Regions from separate parts of the Mus musculus genome. Here region 1 is reported to be linked to region 2. The links are microRNA targets in miRTarBase. Many come from high-throughput screens and were not tested one by one. Region 2 holds a microRNA gene; the other region holds the end of a gene's coding sequence.

The links. The annotated mature microRNA mmu-miR-344f-3p reads CUCUAGCCAGGACCUGACUAC and lies in region 2 at 10,506-10,526, opposite strand. An mRNA with a match to its seed (bases 2 to 7 or 8) in the 3' UTR can be bound and repressed. Matches are read on the target gene's strand: a 7mer-m8 pairs with bases 2 to 8, a 7mer-A1 pairs with bases 2 to 7 and ends in A, and an 8mer does both.
Region 1: the mRNA of Tcf3 is a reported target of mmu-miR-344f-3p. The part of its 3' UTR that is shown has no 7-base or 8-base seed match.

Annotation. Positions count from the first base shown.
Region 1 is chr10:80,401,644-80,410,345 of GRCm38, forward strand. Tcf3 (transcription factor 3) reads right to left here. Exons shown (of 19, transcript NM_001164149.2): 19 at 7,898-8,631. The coding sequence ends at 8,489. It overlaps Uqcr11 (ubiquinol-cytochrome c reductase, complex III subunit XI), which reads right to left and starts at 5,178. Exons shown (of 3, transcript NM_025650.2): 1 at 5,053-5,178; 2 at 2,493-2,643; 3 at 1,354-1,512. The coding sequence starts at 5,102. The coding sequence ends at 2,523.
Region 2 is chr7:62,035,678-62,053,229 of GRCm38, forward strand. Mir344f (microRNA Mir344f) reads right to left here and starts at 10,571; the gene lies at 10,504-10,571. It overlaps Gm23431 (a small nuclear RNA gene), which reads right to left and starts at 1,060; the gene lies at 954-1,060.

The sequences.
Region 1 (8,702 bases), not on the chromosome of region 2:
CCAGCTCCAATTAAATGTTGTCCTTATAAGAGTTGCCTTGGTCATGGTGTCTCTTCACAGCAGTGGAAACCCTAATCAGATAGATCACAAGAGTTGTACTCAGCTGTGTGTGCCCCAGGCTACCCCACTCCTGACCCTGCCTCAGCCTTCCAAGCATGAAGACAGGGTTGTCCACCCTCAAGTCACAGGCTCCACTCACTAAGTGGCTCCAGCAGCCCTCACTTCACCTTCTCCCATTCAGCATCTTGAGGAGCTGGAATGTCAGGCTTGCACCCCAGGCCTAGGGAAAGAGTTATGCTTATGAGTATTTAGCTTACACGTCTTGTCTGTTCATCATGTGTGCCTGATGCCCATGAAGGCCTCAAGAGGATATGGGACTGACTGGAGACACTAGGTGTCAGGAATCGAACCTGGGTCATTGAAAGAACAAGAGTTCACAACCCCTGAAATATGAGATATCTCTAGCCTCTTCTGTGGTGTTAATTTGTCTTGACACCAGGTCTTCAGTAGCCTAGGCTGGTGACCTGGATGGAACTCTTGGTTGTTTTGACTTGACACCCAGAGTGCTGGGAAGAGACGTATGCAGGATTTTTTTTTTTTTTTTTTTTTTGGTTTTTTCAAGACAGGGTTTCTCTGTGTAGCCCTGGCTATCCTGGAACTTAACTCTGTAGACCAGGCTGGCCTTAAACTCAGAAATCCACCTGCCTCTGCCTCCCAAGTACTGGGATTAAAGGCGTGAGCCACCACCGCCCGGCTTCGCAGGATTTCTTAAGACAAGAAATCACTTAGTGCACACTGTCTGGAAATCTGACCATACTGGGTTATGAAGCACCGAGATGTATGTGCTGGGTTGGTGACAGCAGTTTTACCAAAAGGCTGTGGCTGATCTGGCACAGCTCTTACTTAGCATGCAAGAAGGCCCAGGGGCCATCCTCGGCTCCATGAACACCAGGCATGGCAGTGGACAGCTGCATGAGCACTTGAGAGACAGGGGCAGGAGGTTGAGAAGTCTAAGGTCAGACTTAGCTATATAGTGAGTGTGAGGCCAGCCTGGGCTATATAAGAACTTGTCTTAGAAACAAACAAAACCAGGAAGGAAGGAGCCCTGCTCTAGCTGGGTATGGTGGCCAATAGGGGCCGTGAATACTACTTTAAAAGCATTAAAGCTGGGAGTGATTTATCAGACCAGCTGAGAGAAAACAATGTGCAGTTTCCACCCAGAAAACACTTGAATGTAGTGTAAGGGTTTCTGCTTGTTAAAGACTCTCCCAGACGTGCAAGTGCTGGGGGCTGAGACGAATTTCCCTTGAGCACGGAAAGCCTTGAGGAAGATGATGAGGAAGGAGCCAGGCGTCCAAGGCATAAGAATAAGGTTTAATGCTGCACCCATCAAGGCAGCCCTAGTGTCTGTCAACATGGAAGCTCCCTGAGCGGTGCAGACCTCTCCAGTGTCCAGCTTCCTCAGTGTCTTCCACAGGACTACGCTGTGTCTGAGGCCTCGGCACATGGTACCTGGGGGAGGGGACAAAGGGTGAGTAAGCTAAGCACACTGAACCAGCTCGGGCAGCCCAGGGCCTCTGAGCTCTGGGAGTGATGCCAGCAGTGTCACACTACAAGGCCCTTGTCTATAAGATGGAGTGAGAGGGTTGGAGGAGCAATAAGTAGGTAGGAAATGAGTTCCATCCACCCCCCAGCAGACATGCAAAAAGTCAGGAGGCTCACTGGCCAGTCTACCTAATCCAGGAGCTCCAGTTCAACAAGAGACCTGTATGGATGGATCTGGAGAGGTGACCTGGGTCCAGTTCCCAGCAACCACACACAGCAGCTCATAACCACCAGACTTCAGGTCAGATGCCCCCTTGTGGCCTCTGTGAGCACTGCAGGTACAGCCCCCAAACACACACACAAACATGAACCTTAAAACACAAAGTGGACAAGCTAGAGAGATGGCCAGTAAGAGCCTGCTGTGAAAGGACCAGGAACTGAGTTCAAATCTCCAGTAGTACATCAAAGCTAAGCATGGCTATATATACTTATAGTCCCAGCACTTTAGGGACAAGGCCGCAAGAGACAGGCTGACCCTGGGAAGGTGCTGGCTAGCCAGGACCAAGCCAAAGTGGCACATTTCTGGTTCAGTGAGAGACTCTGATTAAAGGTGATAGATAGTAGAGACAGAGGAAAGCTCCCATCTCAGTCTCTGGCCTCCCTATGTGTGCATGTGCACATACATACTTGCACATACACACATATACACAAGTCAGGTGGTCTAAATAGGACTGTACTCTGGGCAACAAGCTACCAACATTAGCAAAATAGCCAGTTTGGTGTGGTTTGATGGGGACACAGTGTTGCATGCCCTCAGCATGCAATGTATTCCAAGAGATACAAGGAACAAAAGAGATGATGGCAAGGGACAAAAGGAATTCCTGCTTAAGGTCCAGGCCACCCCAGAACTCCCAATCCATAGAAGTCAGGCCAACACTCAGACTCACCATCGAGGCCTGTGGTGGGGGAGGGGCTGCCTAATCGTCCTTCTTAAACTTGCCGTTGATGTAAGGCACCCAGTCCAGGATCAGCCGCCAGTCCGTGGCCCACACCAGTCCCACGGCACCCACAGTGCCCCACATGCCGGCTGTGGGAATCCTGGTAGGAAAGAGTGAGGCTGTTAGACTCTGCTGGTAACTTAGCCTTTGAGAACCTTCTCCCATCATATCCCATGCTGATGTCAGTCAAGGGCCCACAATATTCCCTCGACTTTGCAGGGCAGGAGGTCCTGCATAACCCCCACCACCAGACTTGGGAGGCTGAGACAGGAGGGCTGCTTTGAGTTCAAAACCAGATTCACAGGCCAGGCAGGCTAGCACTCACCTTTAACCCCAGCACTTGAGAGGCAGAGGCAGGAGGAGGATGTCTGAGTTCAAGACAGCTAGGACTACACAGAGAAACTTGTCTCAAAACAACAACTACAGACAAAACCAGCCCAAGCTACAGACTGAGATCCTACTTGAAAAATAAAAACGTGGTCACCAGGCACAGTGCTCACACTATAACCCTAACCCCAGCACTCTCTCGGAGTTTGAGGCCAGCTCAGAGGGAAAAGGCCCCCTGCTACCAAGCCTGTCATGGTCACTGGAACCCAGGTCGTAGGGAACCCACACTTTCAAGCTGCTGTCTGACTTCCATGCACATACTGTGGCTGGCACTGGTGCCAACAAACACACAGACATGACATATAAAATACAACACACACACATACATGACATAAAAACCAGGGTGGAGGGGAGGCTGTGGCTGTTGCTCAGTGGATAGAGAGCTTGCCTGACACACAGGAAGCCCTGGCTTCCATCCCAAGCACATGAACCAGGTGCGTTCATGAGTTCAAGGCTATCTCTGGTCACAGAGAGAGTTAGAAGCCTGCCCCGGTTCCATGAGACCTACATGAAAGTAAAACTAGGAGAGTGCTCGAGGCACGGGTTGGGAACTGAGCCTGGCTGAGCTTGGCCGAGCTGTGCCTGAGTCCTTGACTCTCAGCACAGCCATTATTACTTTTTGCCTAGAGTTTTTTGAGACAAGACTCAATATGCAACTTAAGCACACCTAGAACCTGTGATCCTCCTGCCTCAGCCTCCCAAGCCTTTGGATTACAGGCATGCACTATCACGATGGGCAACATACTGTGGTAAACTTGTAAACTCCTGTTACATCGCATATGTGACCGTGACAGCTGGCACTTGGCTTCCGAGGACTGGATGTCAGTGAGATTCTTGTCTCAGGTGAGTGGGAGTTGGGGCTGATTCATCAGAAGACCCTTCCCTGGGCAGCAGGACCAGGCTACTGGGGGCAAAGTTCATCCGCTGCTCTGTTTGGTTATGCCCAGTGGGACCATGTGGATACTGCTCTGTTTGGTTATGCCCAGTGGGACCATGTGGACAGTTTGTAGACAGCCCATGAATCTGAACTACACAGAGCACCAAGATACCAGCCACTGAGCAACAGTGCCAGAACCTTACCTCCTCTGTCCCCTGCTAAGACACCCAGAGTGTCACCTCCAAGCCTCACACACAAACGGAATCTCCCACAGGTGAGCCCTCTCCCTGGCCTCCCAGCAGGTGTCTTCTGTCTGATCCATGCCACCCTCCGCTGCGGCCACTAATACCATACAGCCTACCCAGAAGGGTCAGTCATGGTATAGCTATACTCATTCATTCATCATTCATGGAGACAGGGTTCAATGTACCCTACCCCGACCTGGAATTCACTATGTATCAGAGGATGGCCATAAACTCCTGGCTCTTGCCTGCCACCACCCCACCCCTCTACCCCCAGTGCTGTGACAACCCCTGTGTGGCGCTGTGGATGGACCCTGAGCACCATCTTCTGGAGACTTCCGGCACCTGTGCGTGTAGTACCGGTTCTATGTACTACACGCACACAAACCCACACATATACATATAATTGGAAATAAACTATTAATAAAAATTAAACTGGAGAAGATGGCCCTTTTCCCAGAGATCCCAGGTTCAATTTCCAGCACCCACATGCTTCATAACCATTTCTAGCTCTAGTACCAGGGGAGCCGATGGCCTCTTCTCGCCTACCTGGATACTGGGCACGTATACGGTACACAGACACGCATGCAAAGAAAACATTCAGGTGAGGGTGGGTGCCCGCTATTCTAGCGTTCAAGAAGTGTGAGGCAGGATGATTGGTGGGAGTTCCAGACCAACTTGGGGTTACAAAAACACTGTTTAAACGAAAAAACGAAGTACACGAAAGACTGCAAAATCAAAGCCAAAGGCTGCAAGTCGCCAGGCTGCACGTCGGAGTTCCGAGCCGTAGGAGTCCAGGGTACCCACCCAGAGCCGCACACAAGGCTACCCAGGTCAAGCTGGGGAAACCCAGGCTTGGAGCACCTCAGACACCGAACGAAGGCGATTGCAGCTTAACCTCGGAGCTTCCACCTGCACTGTGTCCCGCAATACTCTGCCTGTTACAGCCTCAGGTTTCCCCAGTCCCCAGAGCACACGGTGGAATGGCGGGTGACCTCCTCACCAGTTTCTGGCCAGTTCCCGGTAGCGCGGGCCTAGAAACCTGCTCAGCATCGCTGCAGGGTCTCAATACTCAGGGTCACCCCGTTCCGCTGCCCTGGAGCACTACGCATGTGCAGACGTATAGCGCATGCGTGAAGGCGATCGCTCCACCTTTTCCGGGGGTGGCGCCGAAGACATTGACATCTACTTCCGGGGAGGAGAGAAAGACGTTACTGATCCGCTTCTGTCCTGGTTCTGTGGTTGCAGTGGATCCCAGCAGTAGCTCCATGCACACTGGAACACCGGGGATGGGGTGGGGAGAGTGTGTGTGACTTTGACCACGTAGTACTAATCTGATAATAACTTTAATAATACACATACTTAGGTGTTTTTGATATGGGGGTCTCCTATATTCAGGGCTGGCCGTGAATTCCTCAGACTCCTGCCTCCACCTCCTAAAGTGTAAGCCTGGGGTAGACAGGGAGTGCTGGGACTGGACCCCAGAGCCTTGGACACGCTAGAGGAGCGTTCGTCCCACTGAGCCACAGCCCTATCTTTGATCAATTTAAACCAGAGGAACTTGAGCACAGACCCTGAAGGGGAAAGGCTCGAGTTGGGCCACACCTTTGAATACATTTGAAGTTGTCGGTGAGTCGCTGAGGGACTCCAGTCAAATGGCAAGTGCCCTCTTAACCTCCATTTGCTTGGATTTTTGCAATGGGACACCTTTGGTGCACAGGCTGACTCTCATTGGTTACCCTCTCTGCTTAAGTCCCTGCTTTGCCTGATCTCCCAGAACAGGCACATTTTAACTACTCAGCTAACCCACTAACTGCACCCCTGACTGGCAGAAAGAAGGCGGGCACATCCTCAGATACACATCCCTCCGGAAGGAGCCTAGATAGAAGGTCTGTCCCTTGTTACTTCAGCCTCACTTTTGAATGGTCAGCGACTGGCATATGGGTGTCTGCGGAGCCCTGGACCCCACAGGCCCAATGTATGTAGGTTCAGTTATGCCACTGACCTTAGCCAAGAACCAGACCACAGAGTTGCTACATCAGGGGCGGGCCTTATTACTAGGTTGGGGGTTCCATGCCCTTAGGATTGTGGAGCAAGGAAAATTCTTTGCCCTCAGGAGACCATGTCCTCTGGTTGACACAAAAGGATATCAGGCTGAAGAGACAGTTCAGTGGGTAAAGTGTGTGTCATATAGCATGAGGACCACATAAACCATGTGTGGTGGCCCACACTTGTAACCCCTGTCAACATAGGATGACAGACACGGGATCCAAAGGCTGAACTACTCTGGTCACCTCCAGGTTCAGCCAAAAGCCTGTCTCAGGTACGGCTAGGAGCACTGCCTGTTCATTCATGTTGGGTTTGGTTTCCAGCACCCACATGGCAGCACCCAGCCCCTTGTAGCTCCATTTCTGGGAGATCTGATGCCCTCTTTTGACATCAGAGCCTGCACACACGTGGTGCACAGATAAATATACAGACAAAACATCCCATAAACTTTAAAAAAAGCAAAGCTGGGTATGGTGGCCACGTGTTTAATGCTTAGGACTGGGGAGACTGACAGACCTGGAGCTGAGTTAATACCAGCCTTGCCAGCATGGCAAGCTACAGGCCAAACACACACAGTGCAACCTTAAAAAAGGTCATAAGGCAGAGGGCCTCAGTGGTAAGTTGCCTGAGGACCCAACTTCATAGAGATGTAGCTACACTTCTGTAAGTCTAGATCAGGGAGATGGAGACTGTCAGAGGGTGGCCATGCACCCCCGGGCATAGGGACTCACAGCCACTTGGGCCCAAGACAGGTCAATTGCTTCCCAAAAGCCTGAAGTCTGGGTGATCCCACACTCTCCTGCCTGTTTGCCACTAAAGCAGAGATAAGGCAAGGCAGTCTTGTATTCATTCCAGCTGTTCCTCCCATGGCTTCCAGAAGTGGCAGGTTCCCGAGCCAAAGTGGTAAACAGATTATTTGCCATAACAAGGCGTTACCATGGTTCCGAACAAAATCTTCCTCACTAGAGGCTTTTGAGGTGTTTCAGGAAGTGTAACTTGTGGGGACAGAGGTCAGCATGGAACAGGCATGAACAGTGTTGTGGTGTGTCCTGGTGGTCTCACCATTATCCTACCAAGAGACTAGGATGCCACTGGGATCTGAAACAAGGGGACAATACTTGGGAGGGGACCCAAGGACCAGTGTACAGATGAGAATGTAGGAGGCAGCTGTGGGAGCATAGGCTTGTGTGATGTGTCTGCTGACCCAGCTTTACAGCTGGAATCAACTCACCCAACCTGCTGGGCACACCTGTAGGGGACGCTTGTGCTGGGACCCCCTAAACCTGGGCCACACCTTCCGGTGGTAGCCCACATAAGAGGGCATGGAAGGAGAATGCTTTTGCTTTTTGCCTGCTTGCCCTCACTGGTGTCAGAACCCTGTTCTTCAGGATTCCAGTGCAGACCCAAGACCAGCATCCCCTAGGAATCCTACAGGACTCCAGCACTGAATTGGGACTGCTGGCACACTGAATAGCTACAGTATTCTTGGAGACAGTCGCTTTGTCGCTGTTGAGAATACCCAGGTCATGGCCTGTAAGCCATTCTAATATCCTTACACACACACACACACACACACCTTATTCTAGCAACTTTTCTTTAGAGGTCCCCTAATGCATGACACCCAAGTATTGAGGACCATGAGGACGGCCCACTTCACATGAGGAGGGCATGGTTTAGCCAAGGAGCACATGCCTGGCACAGACAGGCCTTGGGTTCATGTTCATGGGAAGAGGAAGGGGCAAGCATCTAGATCTTGTGCCAGGCCTCAGGGTAGGGGTGACCCTTAGATCAACACTGGGTCTTTTGAATGCTACTTTAATAACCTTGTAGACCATGAAATATGACGATAAATTCTAGAAACAGAAACAGACATGAGACTTTTATACAAAAATTTGTTGCTTACAAAACATACGGAAAAAAAAGCTAAGGGAAAAAAAAAAGACACGGAAGGCCTCGTTCTTGCTAACTTTTGTCTACATTTAAAAAAAAAATCTGAAAACTAATGTTCCTTTATTCTCCTTTAAAAAAACGAAAAATGCTTAGGCACGATGTGCTGGTGGCTCTGAAGTAGAAGCCAGTCCCAGGCCGCCCTGCCAGGGCACGGTCCGACTCTTCCGTCTTACATAGTTAAGGCATCTTTCTTTCCTTTTTGAAAAGGGAGCATGCTGCTTTGTTTCCAGTTCTGGTTAACCGAGAGGAAGGAACTTTTCTGCTTGGTCACTGGGGCCAAGCAGGGAGCTGTTCAGTGCCACCCTCCCCAGGCCCTGAAGTGTCCCCAGAGCCCTCTCTCTGCTCATGCTTCGATGGAGACCTGTCTCATCCAGAACCGTCCTGATGCACCCCGGGCAGAGATATGGTGGTCCCTGGTCCAACGAAGAAGCTGTGACGGCTCACAGGTGCCCGGCTGGGTTGTGGGCCTCACCCAGGCCCGGGTGGGCGGCTGACAGGGCCAGCTGTGGGTCCCCGACCACGCCAGACACCTTCTCCTCCTCCCTCCGCTTCAAGCAGGCTGCTTTGGGGTTCAGGTTGCGTTCTGGGGGAGTGGGGAAGGAGAGAGCAGTGGGAGACGGTCCTCAGGTGGGGTCAGAGAGGGGCGGGGCTGTG
Region 2 (17,552 bases):
ATTAACGTATGTATATCTTCAAATTTGTAAATAAAACACAAATATTACTACAGTATGTTTATAGTAATGATTATTTCATTCACTCTCCACACTATCACTACTCTCATTCTAGTCAAACTAGCTATAATCATATCCAACACATACTTTTCCATCAACATACCATTCTTCATCTTTTGGTTCTCTAATTTTTCCTTTCTTTCTGTCCTTATATTTTGCTTTATTTACACCTTATCTGCCCCATACTTTCAGTATTTTGTCTTTTACAAAACATGACAATAAAAGTTCCAAAAACCTCTGTATATAGCCTTGAGTTTGAGAAATCAAAACAATTCACATACAGAACCAAAGAAAAAGTTGATCAGAACAGAAAAAATAAAAATATTAATGAAAGGAAGTAAAAACAAAGGCAGGAGAAGGAAAAATAATAATAATTAGGATTTGTGAAAAGTCATCAGGAATTATATCAACTCTTTAGCAAAAAAAAATGGATAATACACATAAATCAGAGTAAATAAATATACATATGGAGTTTTAATGATTTTTTTTTATCATCTTAGCTCCTTTCACTGAACAAAATCCCAATAACATATTAGAAGCCATCGGTTGAGTTGCTCTTCTATCTGTACAAGAAATTTCCAAAGCACAGGGTATTTCTATTGTTTGTTGCTGCACCCTAGAAGTGGAAGTTTGCTGAAACAATTGCTGAAACAACATATCCAGGCTTAGAGGTCCCTGATCTGAAACAATGCTGAAAGTTTCCTCCAGGAGGACTAGCTTACATGGTACAAGAATATGCTATGTAAAATTTCAAATGAAGTCCCTCTAAGCTATGACACCAATAAACCACAACAACCATCAGCATTTCACATTAAACTTAATTGTGCCATAGTGAAATGTATCCCTTGGAAGTAATCAATAGCTTTCTAACTGCTAGAAATACATTTCTAGCATCAGAAAGAAATACATGCCGCATGAACTTGTGTGGCATCCTTGTGCAAGGGCCATCTTAATGTTCTCTGTATCATTCCAATTTTAGTATATGTGCTGCTGACTGGACCACCAACAAAAGAATACACATGGATGGACCTGTGGTCCTGGCTGCATATGTGGCAAAGGATGGCCTTGTTGGACATCTGTGGGAGGAGAAGCCCTTGAGCCTGAGGGTGTTGGATGACCCAATGTAGGGGAATGCTAGGGCAGGAAGATGGGAATGAGTGGGTAGGTGGGGGAGCAAGTTCATAGAGGCATGGATGAAAGGATAGGATAGGGAATTTCCCAAGGGGAGACCTGGAAAGGGGAAAACATTTGAAATGTAAATAAAGAAAATATCAAATTAAAGAGAAAAAGAAAAAAAATACATGCTTGGTAGTTGAAACCTAGCTACTTATAGTATGCAAACACAGTCAAGATTACTAGAAGAGAAACTACTAAGTTTTATAATTTTACTAAATCCTAAATCTTTAATAACAATCTAAACATTGTCTAATACCTACAGATAGACATAATTTTTAACCCTAATGAAAGGGAGTTCCCTTTGAAACAGAGAGAGACCCTTGTAGAAAATTACAATCTATCAAAATGCAGAGTTGTTGAGCTTTGTCCCAGTAGATAGATCTACAAAACACTCCCAAGAAGAGGCTAAGAGAACATTACAAATGTATCAGAATTATTTCAGAAACCAAAGGAACAGGACATATTCTGAGATGTGTTAAATACTAGGAGATTATATTAGGGAATATATAATTATCTCCATGTACAGATCTACATGGTATAACGAGAAATTTAAAAAGAGGAAACAGACTTGAAAGCAAATGAAGAGGAGTATATGAAAGTATTTGAAATGAGGGAAGTGAATGAAGAAATGATTAAGCATTTTATAATCACAAAAAGGATTTAAAAATCACTATCATAAATATTCAAATAGAATCTAAAGAAATAATCTTTCTAAAATAATCTTGCTAATATGAACATACATATATATATATATATATATATATATATATATATATACATATATATATATATATATATATATATATAAAACATTCTTGGTTGAAGATAGCATGATGAAAATAACAGACCTTTCATTCTGTATGACAAACAGTTATACCATATTACTGCCATCCAAGGTCATTTGTATTAGATACCAATGAAGAAAAAAATATGACATGTTCTCAAAACTGAACACATGCATGGGTCATAAAGTTCTTACATAAGTGTAATATTACACAAAAATTATAAATATTATATATTTATGAAAATATACAGACAACAGACTACAGTACTTAAACCTACATACAGAATGATTTTTGAGTCTGGAAAATTTTTAAAATAAACAATGACTTTGTGATTCTATTGAATTTTATATACCCTGATGAGATATGAATGAATGTCTGTTCAGCCCAGTAGCAGGATCAATGACTGAACCACAACTACAAAAACAATTTCAAATAGCTTCAGATCAATGAACCAAATTGTTCATTTTCTGTTACAAGATAATAAGTAACATAAAGACATCTGCATTACAAAACACTCATCATAGAATGTGTATAATTATTCAGGGAAAGTGCATAGAAGAAGATCACTGCCCTAAGAGCAGGCAGCTCTCCCAGAGCCTCCTTTACCCAAACAATTATTCATTTCAAAGTACTTGATGAAACTTACCAAGTTCTTTATTTATTGAATGCTATGATCTTTACTTGAAAATCCAAAAAAAAGAGGAAAGAAAAGAAAAGAAAAGAAAAGAAAAGAAAAGAAAAAGAGAATAAATATCATCTCCTGGTAATATGAGATATGTAGCTACAGGAAGACTTACTAGAAGCATTGGTGTTCTACTTTTTTTTCTTCATGTCTTAGGAACTAATTTAGAACATGTCAAGACAGTATTGGCCTTTTAAAATGTTAAGAATTAATACAATAATAATATGTTAAAATACAAAAATATCAGTATATTAATCTTGTTGTATACAAAACACAACCTCAGGCAAAGATTACTATTCCACAACATATACCATTGGCATAATTGTCAATCCTCACATTTTGTGAGTATGAAGTTTTGCCCATAAGTAATCATTACATGGGTACAGACATTGGCACCTAAGTATTTTATTCTAGTCTGTATTGACTAGAGAAGTCACAGTAAAATATCAACAGTATAAAAGACTTTATCAAATGGCTCCAATTTAAATGCATCAACTGATAATAGAATAAAAATATAAATTGTATAACTAATATCATAATTTCGTGTTATTTCCACATATATTTGAATATAAGCTTACCATTTATTGTAAGACGATTACAGCATACTTACACGTAATATTTCCGTTTCTCTGCCCTCTCAAACTTCTTCAATACGGCCCATAAAATTGTCCATCCTCTTTTAAACTATTCTGTCTTGAACAGTTCCTTAAAGAAAGCCAAACATAAGCACTGAGTTTCAGCACTAACCTTCTCTGTCTACACTGTCTTTGTATAAATTCCCACCATATAACACTTAGAGTATCACCACTTGATAACTTTTACAACTCAACCAGACCCACATTAAAAATGATCTCTCTAATCAGTGCCATTAACACTAGTAAAGGTCTTGTAATTATACATTTCGTATATGTTGGGCTATAATAAAGCTATAGAAATAAAGAAGTAGAGATACAATATAAACAATTGCCCGTTGGCAATCATCATATGAACAGGATAAACTTCTGTGATATAAGGTGGATTTTTGATTTGTTTCTCCATTTTCCAGGAGTTATTTATGAGATGAATTGGGTGGGGAGTATCCTGAAGCTCCTTGCATGCAAAGTAAATGATGCTAAATATTCGCTGCTCTGATATGACAAGTGAGGCATGTGGGCCAGGCCTGCTGTCACTCTTCTTCCAGGGTCTAGGCAACAGGAGCTAATTTTCCAACTGAATAAATGACTATGGTAGAGATATACTATAGTTATGTATATAAATATAATAGCCTTGTTCATGTGGGTCCTCTTGAGGTCCATTTTGTATTCACGGTGTCCTGTACTCCTTTAATTGATAGCTAGTCCTTCTCTGGGAGACATGCAGTATCTTGTGTTATTATCTGCTTCCACACTCCATAGAGAACAGTCTTTAATATTCCCCTAATAAGAACTTTGGACTCTCTGTATAAATACAATTGAAGATTGGACCCCAATACTACTGAATTGGCAATTCACTATGTGATGTAATCCTGGTATATGAGTGGTAATAAAACACATGGTAACAGTGAACTCATATGGGCTCTACAAAATGTCAGAACATTTATTATTACATAGTATCTATAAACACATAAAAGTAAGATAATTAAACTTAAAGAAGGAATAACATATAAGAAAAATAATAAAGAAAAGAAAAAAATAAAAACCTACTGTCCTCTATGGAGAATGGTGATGTTTGCTTTCTTTCACTCGTACAACAGTCTTTGTATGTGTTGGTTACTTTAATGTCAAGTTGTCATTTGATATTGCCAGAGGAGAGATAGGACCATAATTTTAAAATGTCTCTATAATCTTTGTCTGTAAACAAAATTACAGAGCACTTTCTTAATTAGTGATTGATTTCATTGAACCCAGGCAATTTTGGCCCTAGGTTGTATAAGAGTGTAGGATCAATAATCTATGAGAGTAACCCAGTAAGCAATACCTATTTATATCTTTTGCATCAACTTCTACTTCCAATTTCCTTTTCTGTTTGAGTTTGTGGTCTGACTTCCTTCAATGATATACTATGATAATGAAGTACAAATTAACACACCCAGTCTTTTTCCCTAGTTGTTTTGCATGTTGGTGTTTCATTACAGCAACACTACACCTAACTAAGACAGAGATTGGTGCCAAGAGTGAGTTATTGCTGTTACAGAACTGACCATGTTGTTTTGTATAAGATTTTGGAAGGAGACTGAACTCTTGGGAAACTAAAAACATTGCATGCTGAGTTTACAGTGAATATGGCATAGGAGTTTTTAAGATAACAGGTGATGGTGTCCTGGCTTGTGATGTTTCTGAGAGAAGTAAAGACTCTACAAAGCCATTTCTGTGATGAATCTTTTGTGTCAGATCAGCTTTAGCTGATGTATTGGCTGTAACCAACATGAGACCAGGATCACTAAAGTAAGATTTTTACTGTTCTAGGCCTATGGATGCTGAAAATCAGCTGTGATTAAGAATAGCACAATACCCTCAACAGAGGAATGGATACAGAAAATGTGGTACATTTACACAATGGAGTACTACTCTACTATTAAAAAGAATAAATTTATGAATTTCCTAGGCAAATGGATGGACCTGGAGGGCATCATCCTGAGTGAGGTAACCCAATCACAAAGGAACCCCCAAAATATGTACCCACTGATAAGTGGATATAAGCCCAGAAACTTAGAATACCCAAGATATAAGATACAATTTGCTAAATGCATGAAACTCAAGAAGAACGAAGACCAAAGTGTGGACACTTTGCCCCTTCGTAGAATTGGGAACAAAACACCCATGGAAGGAGTTACAAAGACAAAGTTTGGAGCTGTGATGAAAGGATGGACCATCTAGAGACTTCCATATTCAGGGATCCATCCCATAATCAGCTTCCAAAGGCTGACACCATTGCACACACTAGCAAAATTTTGCTGAAAGGACCCAGATAGAGCTGTCTCTTGTGAGACTATGCTGGGACCTAGCAAACACAGAAGTGGATGCTCACAGTCAGCTATTGGATGGATCACAGAGCCCCCAATGGAGGAGCTAGAGAAAGTACCCTAGGAGCTAAAGGGATCTGCAATCCTATAGGTGTAACAACAATATGAACTAACCAGTAACCTCCCCCACCCCCTGCCCCGGAGCTCGTGTCTCTAGCTGCATATGAATCAGAAGATGGCTTAGTTGGCTATCATTGGAAAGAGAGACCCATTGGTCTTACAAACTTTATATGCCTCAGTACAGGGGAAAGACAGGGCCAAGAAGTGGGAGTGGGTGGGTGGGGGAGTGGGTGGGGGAGCATATGGGGGACTTTTGGGATAGCATTGGAAATGTAAATGAAATAAATACCCAATAAAAAAAGAACATTAAAAAATAAAAAAAGATAGTTCATCACCAAAAAAAAAAAAAAAAGAATAGCACAATAGTGAAGTTATATCAAATTGAGGTAAAGTCTTCTGGAAAGTGTTTCTTAAATGTCAACACACAGAGTGGTTGGAAAGGTTGCTCAGTGGTTATGAACATAGAATGTTCTTCCAGAGGACAAGGGTTCAATGTACAGCACCCACATGGCAGCTCACAAGTGTCTATAACTCCAAGATCTAATACCATTACCAAACATACAGGGTAAACACCAATACACGTTTAAAAAAAAACGAGTCAACACACAGATGTGTTCCATGATCTTTTAAGGTGATTCCTCCTGTTAGCAGCCAATACCAGTACTGTAAATGTCATACAGCTCTGGATTTGAAGGCATGAGAGCTGTAGGGCAAGTGTGAGCTGAAAGAATGGGACTGGAATAGGAGTGAGGTTGGTAGGTTTCTAACCCCCTAAAATCACTTCATAAAACTACAGTCTTATCTTGACAGCAGCAAGAATAAGGACTCCCTCCCTAAATTCTTTGCCTGAATGCTGCAGGGCATATAGCCCCACAATCCCCACCTCCATGCTTCCATGCTTCCATACTTTTCTTCTTGATGATAATTGACTAAACTTTTGAAATATTAAGTCAGACAATGAAATATTTTCCTTTATTAGATTTGTCATGGCTATGGTGTCACTTTACAGCAACAGAAACCTCAAGACAATGTATAATCCAAATTGTTTCTCTCCAAGTTGCTTTTGGTAATGGTATTTCATCCCAGGCATAATAATCATAAACAAGACAGTAAGTAGGTAGCATATTTTAATACATGGCAGCAAGTAAAAAAGGCAAACTGTGAAGAACAAAAGGCTTACCCATTTTCTCTTGGTAGACATCTAGCAAAGTATAGAATTTAGACTAAGGAGTGAAGTTATGTCAAATTTCTCATGTGTTGTGGGAAGTTATTGAACTAGCCATAGTATAGCCTAATAGAAAACTAGTACTCTGAATATACAAATTCAAATTTGTATATTAATCTAATTAACTAGTTTTTTTTCCTGAGAGATACCATTTCTTAAGGAACACCATAAAGAATCAGCTAGAGTACCTTGTGCATTTCTTGAATAAAAATGATTAAATGAAATTTCAAGAATTTACAAAATTAACTCATCCACTATTAGTTATGCAATTTACTACTGGACCATTTAAATTACTATTTTATGTAATAATGGATGCTTGTGATTTCATGCCATATAAATATGTGAACATAAACTCAACTTGGCCTTTAAAATTTGGTTTCTAGTTCAATGTCTTTTCCAATATTATCAATATGGTGATCTAGTTATCCACAATTAACTAAACTCAATTCTGATGAAATCTGAGGAGAAAGGCATATACAAATATTAAGTGACACTGCAAAGCCTCTAAGCAGAAATGCAAGGGAACTACCCCTCAGGTACAGGGTGATAGTGGCTCCTATTATCTGTTATATCTATTATATTCAAACCAATCACCCAATGGAGGTTTTGAGACCTTTTATAGATTCCAATAAATAATGTGTCCCTTTCTACCCCACTTCTCTCCTTCCTAATTTTTCTACCATGTTGAAAATGTTGAAAGTTTATATCTTGGTACTCACATCATATGTACATATAAGAAGCACAAATTGAAATAATTGGATTTGAAGAAGAGTGAAAATATGTATAGAGAAGGATGTAGAAAGAAAGCAAAGAGGACTATGTTATGATTAAATAAAGATTTCAAAAGAAAAAAATTGAAAGGAAATTTTTATATAAAAGTTATTTCCTTAAGGATATGGCCAGTCCTCTTAACTTGCCTGATTTCAAAACTGGAGTGTCCAGACAAGGAAGAGTAAACAAATATATTTATCACACAGCAGAAACAATATTTACCAAAAAACTGGTTGTGGATTAGAACATAGAATCTGTGATACTCTTGATTCCAGCTTTACAGTTTTTTTAATATTTTTATTACATATTTTCCTCAATTACATTTCCAATGCTATCCCAAAAGTCCCCCATATCCTCCCCCTCACTTCCCTACCCACCCATTCCCATTTTTTTATGCTACCTGATGATTATTGGCTAGAAGTCAGCACATGACCTGTCACAAAACCACAAGCTATCGCCAGTTGATTACTGCAAGCAAATGGAAAATTAAGTTTCCTCTAGTGGAGCTTCATCGCATATGCAAATTAACTTTAAAGGTCCGAAACTCAGAAGTAGATCGCACACAAAAAAGTACTCAAAGGCATTTTTGAGTTTCTTTTTCTTATAATACTCACTCAGTGTTTGTTTTGTTTTGTTTTGTTTTGTTTTGTTTTGTTTCTGTTGTTGTTGGTGGTGTTTTCTTGTTTATTTACATGTCCTTTTTTTGTGGGCATGCCTATAATGGATAATGGTTTATGGTATTGTGTTTTGGTGCCACTTATTTTTGTGTGAACATGTGTGCCTCTGCATAATTTCATTTGGCTATTTTACTTCTGTTTGTTTCTTTCGTGTGTCTTACTGTGATTTGTTTTATTTTAATGATTGCTCAGTAGTAGTAGTAGTAGTAGTAGTAGTAGTAGTAGTAGTAGTAGTAAATTCATGTCTATATTCTCTTTAAAGAGACAAGGAAAAAGTGTAGATTAGATTTGGGTGGGTGGGATTTGGTATGAGACTGAAGGAAAGGCCATTCAGATACTGCCCCATGTGGGGATCCATCCCATATAGAGTCACCAAACACAGACACTATTGTGGATGCTGGGAAGAGCTTGCTAACAGGAGCCTGATATGGCTGTCTCCTGAGAGGCTCTGCCAGAGCCTTATGAATACAGAGGTGGATGCTCATAGCCAACCATTGGACTGAGTGCATGGTCCCTGATGGAGGAGTTGGAAAAGGGACTGAAGGAGCTGACACTTGGAGGGGAGCAATAGTGTCAACTGGCCAGATCTCTCATAGCTCCCAGGGACTGGACTGCCAGTCAAAAAGTACACATGGAGGGACCCATGGCTTGGGCCACATATGTGGCAGAAAATGGCCTTATTGGACATCAGTGGGAGGAGCAGCCCTTGGACCTGATGGCGTTTGATATCCCAGTATAGGGGAATGCCAGAGCACAAGGGCTGGAAGACAGACAGAACTGGATGGGTGGTTGAGGAAGCACCCTCATGGAGACAGGGGGAAGGGAAATGGGAAAGGAGGTTCCCAAGGGGAGACCTGGAAAGGGGAAAACAATTGAAATATAAATAACAAAATATCCAATTTTTAATAAACAAACAAACAAATAAATAAAACAAAAGAATAAAGTCCTAAGTAAGGTTAAAAAAAAGTTTGGCTCAGGGAAAACACAATCATATATTGTATGAAATAAAATCTACCTTCAATAAAACAATACCACCCATTAAAAAAGTGAATGTTTCAGCTCTGACCTTTCTCTCAGAGTTTTAGTTTGCCAGATAAGAGATATATGTAGATAGCAGTTCTCCTCATATTAGGTCCATGAAGGGAGTCTGAGGAACAGCAGCTCTCCTGTCTCTGTTATATACTGAAGGCTGGGATGCTTATGGAATAGTACCTCTCCTTTCTCTGTTATATACTGAAAGCTGAGATGCTTATGGACCAGTAGCTCTCCTGTCTCTGTTATATACTGAAAGCTGAGATGTTTATGGACCAGTAGCTCTCCTGTCTCTGTTATATACTGAAAGCTGAGATGTTTATGGACCAGTAGCTCTCCTGTCTCTGTTATATACTGAAAGCTGAGATGTTTATGGAACAGCAGCTCTCCTGTTTCCTGTTATATACTGAAGGCTGGGATGCTTATGGCAGATTAAAGCCAAAATCCAAGGGTAAATCATATATATATATGTCTATATAAAATTTATACTTCTCTCATACAGTGTATCATAAATGCAACCTCCCCTCCCTCCCTGTTCCCTGTCTCCTCTGGAACATATGTTCCTCCTTTTCCCTTCAGAAAAGAACAGGCTTCCCATTGATACTAACTAAACATAGCAAAAAAAAAAGATGCAATAATACGAGAAAACAAAACAAAACAAAAAACCTTTAAATCATGGCTGAATGAGGCTACCTAGTAGGAGAAAGCAAGTCCCAAGAGCAGGGAGAAAGAGTCAGAGACATCCTCACACTGACAGTGGGCAATCCCACAAAACCCCCAAGCTTAATAAGCAGACACTTGCAAAGAACCTAGGCTCCATGACTACTGCTTCAGTCTCTATTAGTCCCTCTGAGCAATATATTTTTAAAAAAGAGCAATGGATAAGGAAGAAGGAACACATTTCCTAAAGAGGAAATAGAAGCAAATAATTCAATAAACGTGCAGACTCTTTTAGCAAGTACCTGTCTATGCTGGTTTTCCATTGGCTCTGTTTCCTGGCATATCTTAATATGGGTCCTCCTTCACTGCTAAGTAGGTTGTAGTCAGGTCCTGGCTAGAGCCTGGAACCAGCTTAGAGCTGGACTCCAGCCAGGAGACTGACTGGCAAAACCCCTCTCTTCAGGGACTTATATTAGCACCATTTGTCTATGATTGGCTGAGTGTGTGCATTCAAAATAAGAATGGGCTTAGGACCAATCAAGTGAGAGATCTCAAAACTAGCTATGTAAATCAATAGCCTTCTGTAACCAGGGAGATTTCTATACAAGCTTGTATGTATCGCCTCTCCTCTCTGTGTGCTGCAGCAGGCAGGAACAGTGAAATGAGAAATAATAAATAAATGCAATTTTACATGGTTCCACTTGACAAAAGGCAAAAACAGCCAGTGGTGTGTGGGGGCTCTGAGCATGTATCTGGTTGCTTGGGAATAGATGCTCTTGTAAAAGGAAGTGTCTTTGTCTGTCTGGACCCTTCTGATTATGATTTTGAGCTGCCAGATGCAGCTGCTGCTGATGCTTTCTACCCAGCTGCGCCACTGTTTACAAGCGCAGTGATTATAAGAATGAGCCATCACACTAGATTAGAACTTTATGTCTATTAGAATGATTAGACTACAGAAAAAGCAGATTAGATTTAAAAAAGAAATATATCTAATGAACATGAAATGGCTTAAAGTATAGTCATTGTAAAGAAATAATTTAACAGGTAGTATGAAAATTTATTTTAAGACAGGTCCATAATTATTCTCTGCCTCTGCCTCTCTCTCTCTCTCTCTCTCTCTCTCTCTCTCTCTCCCTCTCTCTCTCTCTCTCTCTCTCTCCCTCTCTCTCTCTCTCTCTCTCTCTCTCTCTCTCTCTCTCTCTCTCTCTCTCTCTCTTTCTCTCTCTCTCTCTCTTTCTCTCTCTCTGCTTGCATTTGTGAACTCATACATTTCTGGTGTGAGGAGTGAGCATATTGTGCATCCAGGTAACAAACAAAAGACAAATCTACATTTTTCCCCACTAGCAGCTTCATTTCTTAAGACATATTTTATTCATTATAAATATTATGTGTTTTTAATACCTACCCTACATTCTATAATCTAAAATCCTACACTATCTCTACTATTACTACTCTATCTGTACTTATATGAATCTCTCTATTCTCTTTATGTATGTGTGCATGTGTTTGTGCATGGCTGCATTTTCATTTCTCTCTGTCTCTCTCTCTCTCTGTCTCTCTGTGTCTCTCTTCTCTTTCTGTCTGTGTGTGTGTGTGTGTCTGTGTGTATTTCTGTGTATGCATGTGTGTGACTACCTTCTTATTCTTATTGATATAATTTAATTGCATTTCTTCTTTCTCTTTCTTCCTTCAATTTTCCAATAAACCACATCACAATATCTTTCAAATTTATGTCCCCCTTTTACTAATTTTTGTTGGATGTATACATGCATATACCTATATATTCTTAAATATAATCTGATTAGTAAGTTTAATGTTACTTCAATACACATTCTCAAAGGTGATCTTCTGTTAAAACACAAATAATTTGTGTGATCTTCGCTGAGAATGGCCACATCTTCCTTTTCCAGATTTCCTCAGTTGCATGTTGTTCTATAAGTATGGTGGAGTCCTTGTGAACACTTTCCCATCAAGTTTAGCTCAATTTTGGATGTTCAGGTTACTGAAATTTAATTGATGGAGCTTTTAAAATTATTCATAGAAACATTATTATAACAAAACTCGCTGATCACCTGGCTCTGACATTTATTTTTGCTACTTCACTTTATTGTACCACAAACATTAGGTGTAAGAATATTTTGTGGATAGATCTACTATGAACTTGCAAGCTGTAATTGAGGAGGCTTGTGGAAGTCTATGAAGGTGACTCTAGCTAAGAATCCTAGCAGTAGGGGATATGGACCCTAAAGTGAATACCTCTTATAGCCAGGGAGGACTTCCAGTGAAGAGATAATGAAACTATCTCACAATAAAAACTTCAACCCCAAATTTTTCCTATCTACAAGAAGTGCAGGGACAAAGATTTCATATTCACTGGGAGAAAGACAAACCAATGCCTGGCCCAACATGAGATCTATCCCTTCGGCAAGAACTAAATCATAACACTATTAATGATACTTTGTCAGGAACCTAGTATACAGGAATTGAGTATAACTGTTCTCTGGAAATCACCACTCAGCAGCTGACCAAAACAGATGCAGATATCCACATCCAAACATGAGATGGAACTCAGGAAGTCTTGTGAAAAATTTGGAGGAAGTATTGAGGAATCTGGAGGTGATAGGGACACCAAAAGAACATACAAATAAAAATAATGGGCAAGCTTCCAAAGGAGAAAGGCAATCAAAAGTCATATATAGCTATCATGGCTGTAAACCTCATCAGTTAACAGCATAGCATAATAACCTCAAGTGTGCAGTGGCAGCATACATAACTTTGTGGCATCTACTAACACTCTAATTGATAATATGTCCTGTTCAGAGGGAAACAATATCCTAGTACTAGAAACATAGTTAATTACTTGGTGCTACTGAAGTTATGGATAGTGGAGAATTGTCAACCACAAACTTATTAATCAAATATAACAACAAAATATTGTGTAATAGTCTAATCTCATAACAATTTATAAACATTTGTCTGAATATGCTAAGATAAATTTACTCATCTCCATTCATAAAGAAACTCCTCAGTGTAAAAGATGATTATTTCAGAAAAACCATAACCAGTCATACTATAGAGTTGTACAGCCCATTCTCCCTCTCTTCTTAATATCAACTTGTCAATTTAGGCTATGTAAGTGTTCAAGGATGTATGGATCTCTAATATAATCGTGGTATCTTCTGAGGCCAAACATTACTGAATAAAACAAATTCTCCCTTCTCCAGCAGTCCATCAAATGCCAAAGATATCTAAAATAAGAGTGGGACTTCCTGAGGGTTCTATCACCCCTGCTAAGATTTTATCTTCCTTGATCTATAGAAGTTTTGTGTATGCAGATTTAACTGCTTACAGCTCATTTGCATAACTCTGATATTGTACCTACTACCTTTGCTTAATTTGATACATTTATGTTCACCAAATTTACCAAAAAAATAGTTTGGCTGGCCAGAAAAACTTAGCAATCTTAACTGCATGCCATGGAATTGCATGCCAAAAACACTATACGTGGATTTTTACCTGTGTATTCTAGCAATTAAATCAGAAGCTCATAATTTCAGAGGAATTATATTGCCCAACGGGCCACCATTAGACCCAGGCATAGTTGACGTTAAAAGAAAAAAGAATAACCCACTGACTATAATTCAAGGACCACAAGAATATTTGCTCTACATATTCCAAAAATCACTTTGTACCACAACACTGAAGATCATCATCTCTGAGATATTCCAAAAGTTTCAATGTTGATTCTCTGCAATCTTAGAAAATAGGAAAGTACCTGCATCATTCTTTTGTCAGCCACAGGTAGTATAATTACTCTCCACTAATTTCTGCATCACATTCAAGACAGACAAGCTTCTAACAAAATATTCTTTCATATTGTCATTTCCAGTAAGGTTGATTTAAGAATTTCTTACAATATTAAAGTAGAAAAGAGAGTCCCCTATGTCTCTCATTTTTATATTTCATCTACTCCTTACCTCCATGCTATGTTGAAGTGAACACTAAAGATAAGAACAGTACAAAACCTATAGGTAAACTTCAATATTTCATCAACTCCTCTCAAATGTCATTATTTCACAAATCATAGCCCTCATCATGATAATAGAGTTTTAGTTATTCAAAATTACACGTTAATTGTTCATGATAGAGTGTAATGTGAATGATAATCAGTAGTCTTATTATATGATCAAGGAAATGTGTTATACCAAACACTGTAACCCTAGTCATCTGTTCACAGACAGTGAGATTACCAGTCTTGCAAAACAACCTACAGCGGCCAACTTACTGAACCAGTATGCTTTATAATCACATTCTAAATATATATCTTTATATCCACAGATTAATGCAACATTCACCATCAGCAAAACAACTTCATTTTGCAGCACAAAGAGACCTTTACAGTATGCCCCTGGTCAAAATTCATCTGACTTTGGTATGCCTAATAACAACAGTTAAATTTAAAACCATCATCAGCATCAAGCTTCAGAGTATTATGGAAGAGATAGAAAAATACTGTAAATCCAAAGGAATCCTTGAATGCAGAAATTAGTCATTAGATATACATAATTATATGTTTGTAACTATAAAACACATAACAATATGCCTCGAATTTGAAATCAAATGGGACATATATGAGTGTTGCTGTGGATGAAAGATGGAATGGTATAAGTAATCATTAGATCATATAGACATGTATGAATACATGAAAAATACTTTAAAAATTCCTAAAATGTATACACTTCAGAATGTAATTTAATGGATTCACCTTACAAAAGAGGATAGTTCAACTAAACATTTAAGCCACCAAGTAAAATGTATAGTATTGGAAATGGGTTATTTTTGATTCATTTATTAATGGAGTCATATAGACTCTACAGCTATCACAGGTTACAGCCAAGGATATCTTCTACTTTATAGAACCTAATTGTGAGGCCTATTGCTGGAAATGCAGCTTATTTATCACATTATACACAGAGAAATCGTGCTCATGAAAATTAGAAGCTTTACTATTTCTGACTAGAAATCCTGGTATTGGGAGATACTCTACACATAACTGGTGGAAAGAAGAAATCATCAATGCTACCCAGATACAAATGATGCAACCTACATTAATGATATGCTTGTATAATACACTGGTGAAATCATTGTACAAAAGTCATTGGAGTAATCTTTCAGTTTTATGAATTTATGATGTAACCCACAAAGCAGAACCAATAGAGAACATTGTTACTGTGAAAAACAAAAAAAAACAAACAAACAAAAAAAAAAAAAAACACCTGAGACTAGATGGGACAAGGCTTGTGGAAAACCTGTTAATATTATTTAGCTAAAGGAATCTAGTATTAAAATTCCTCCCATAGATAAACATGCTCTTCAATAATCATTAACAAAGATCCTACTTGTAGTAGATAGGAAATAACATAAGGATTCACAACTGTACAATAGCCTAAGTATGAGAAACTTTGAGCACTTGCTCCTAAATGAGATGTCTTAAGCAAACATATCAGTTCATGCCTCAAAGATTTCAACAGAAAATGGGATTAAGAAGACTGTCAGAGCCAAAGATAGTGAATAACTCCAAAGAAAAAAGAATCTTCTAGACAAGTACACCTGGTAAATTTGAATTCACAACGTTTTTTATAGCAAATAAGACTTGCATGACTTAAATTGTATTTCTTAATCCTCAAAGGCCAAGCAATACACTTCCTCAACAGTAGAACCTTTTCATTCAGTTCTGTTTTTTCCTTCTGCCATGACCTTTTAAGGCATTTTTTATTATATAGTTTCTTAATTTACATTTCAAATGCTACCCCAAAGCCTCCTATGTCCTCTCCCTGCCCTGCTCTCCAACCCATCCATTCCCACTGCCTGGCCCCGACATTCTCCTATACTGGGGCATATGATCCTCACAATACCAAGGGCATCATTCAGTTCTTAAATAAAGCCAACACCTGCTGCAAACATCTTTACTCTTTTAGAAACTGCTAGGTTTTCTGTGGCCAATAACTACTAGGGAAGTAACCTATTAATAGCCCTAGAATTTCCAATGCACAATGTTGTGGCTTCAACAAATATCTGCTTGTATTTTTTTCTGTACCTTTTAACAGAATCTCCTCTCCTATGCACCATTTGTAAAATTATTATCAATGCATGATACTTTAAATGCATTCCCATGTTTATTAAATGAGTCTTCAAAGCTGCAAAACATTCAAAGATTACACAGTGATAGCTACAATAAAAGGGGGATATACAGTATATGGACAGAACAATGATGCAAAAGTCATTACACTATAAGTAATAATAGGACTCCTGATTTAACATTGGTAAAGCACTTGGAACATCCACTGCCATCTCTTCTGAGCAAGTGTCAGCTTATCTCAGGAGTTCAAAGCTAAGAAGACACCGAATCAAATATAATCAATATTTAGCACAGCGTTTAATCTTAGCATCTATTATTTCTTCCTCTCATCACCATTGGATACACTAGCATGGACAGGAAGAACTAAGTTTTCCACAGAGAACCCCTTCATTTTAATAATAATTGCTTTAGTATATCTGATTCCTTTTTCTCTGCCCTACACAAGGCAAACCACAAAGGAGATCCTGTTCTCCAATGCTACAGCCACTAGTTAGTTGTATTCCCTGGGGTAGCAGGATGGCTCAGTTTTTATACTGTGATCTTAGTTCCAACTGCAGCCTACAACTCATGATACCTGAATACCGGTAAAGGTCCTACTCATACAAATTATTCCCACCCATAATACTTCTTTTCACAGAAGAGAATGAAGCACTGATTAATAAAGAGACATAACTATACTGAGCAGAGATAGGCTTATCTTTGCCTTCTATTCAATTCAAGGTGATTGTTTAAAGCCATAAAGTTCATGAGAAAAGTATTTTGTATCTTCAGTTTGTTTTTTTTTTTCAGGAACCTCCCACATTTGACTTCACATACCATCCATTTCCGCGCTCTTCTGATTATTCTTCCCTTTCGCTCCTCCATGAATCAATCTCACTTTATCTTTGAAGTTTGGTGTAACTATATAAGTCTGCTAAAGCCTTTCCAACTTTATAATAAAAACAAAGAGTTCATAAAAACTAAGAAAACTCCTTGCCAGCCTCAAGAACCTTGCTTAGTACTTGCTTTCCTTAAGTTAGTGGTGAACATTATTTTATCTGTCAGTCTCAGTCAAGTGGATATCAATTATTTCTTTCCTCATACCTAATTCCCTCAGTAGTGCTTTTCCCACTCTACTGTCTTCCATTATCTAAAATCCATGGGGACTTTCTCAAGTGTTGGAAGAATTTATTATAGATCATAAGAGATAATTAATCAGAAATTGATTACCCTCTATGGTCTCCATGAAGACTATGTCCAAAAGGGGATATATGGATGTATTGCTCAGTTTCTTTGCTTCCACAGCTC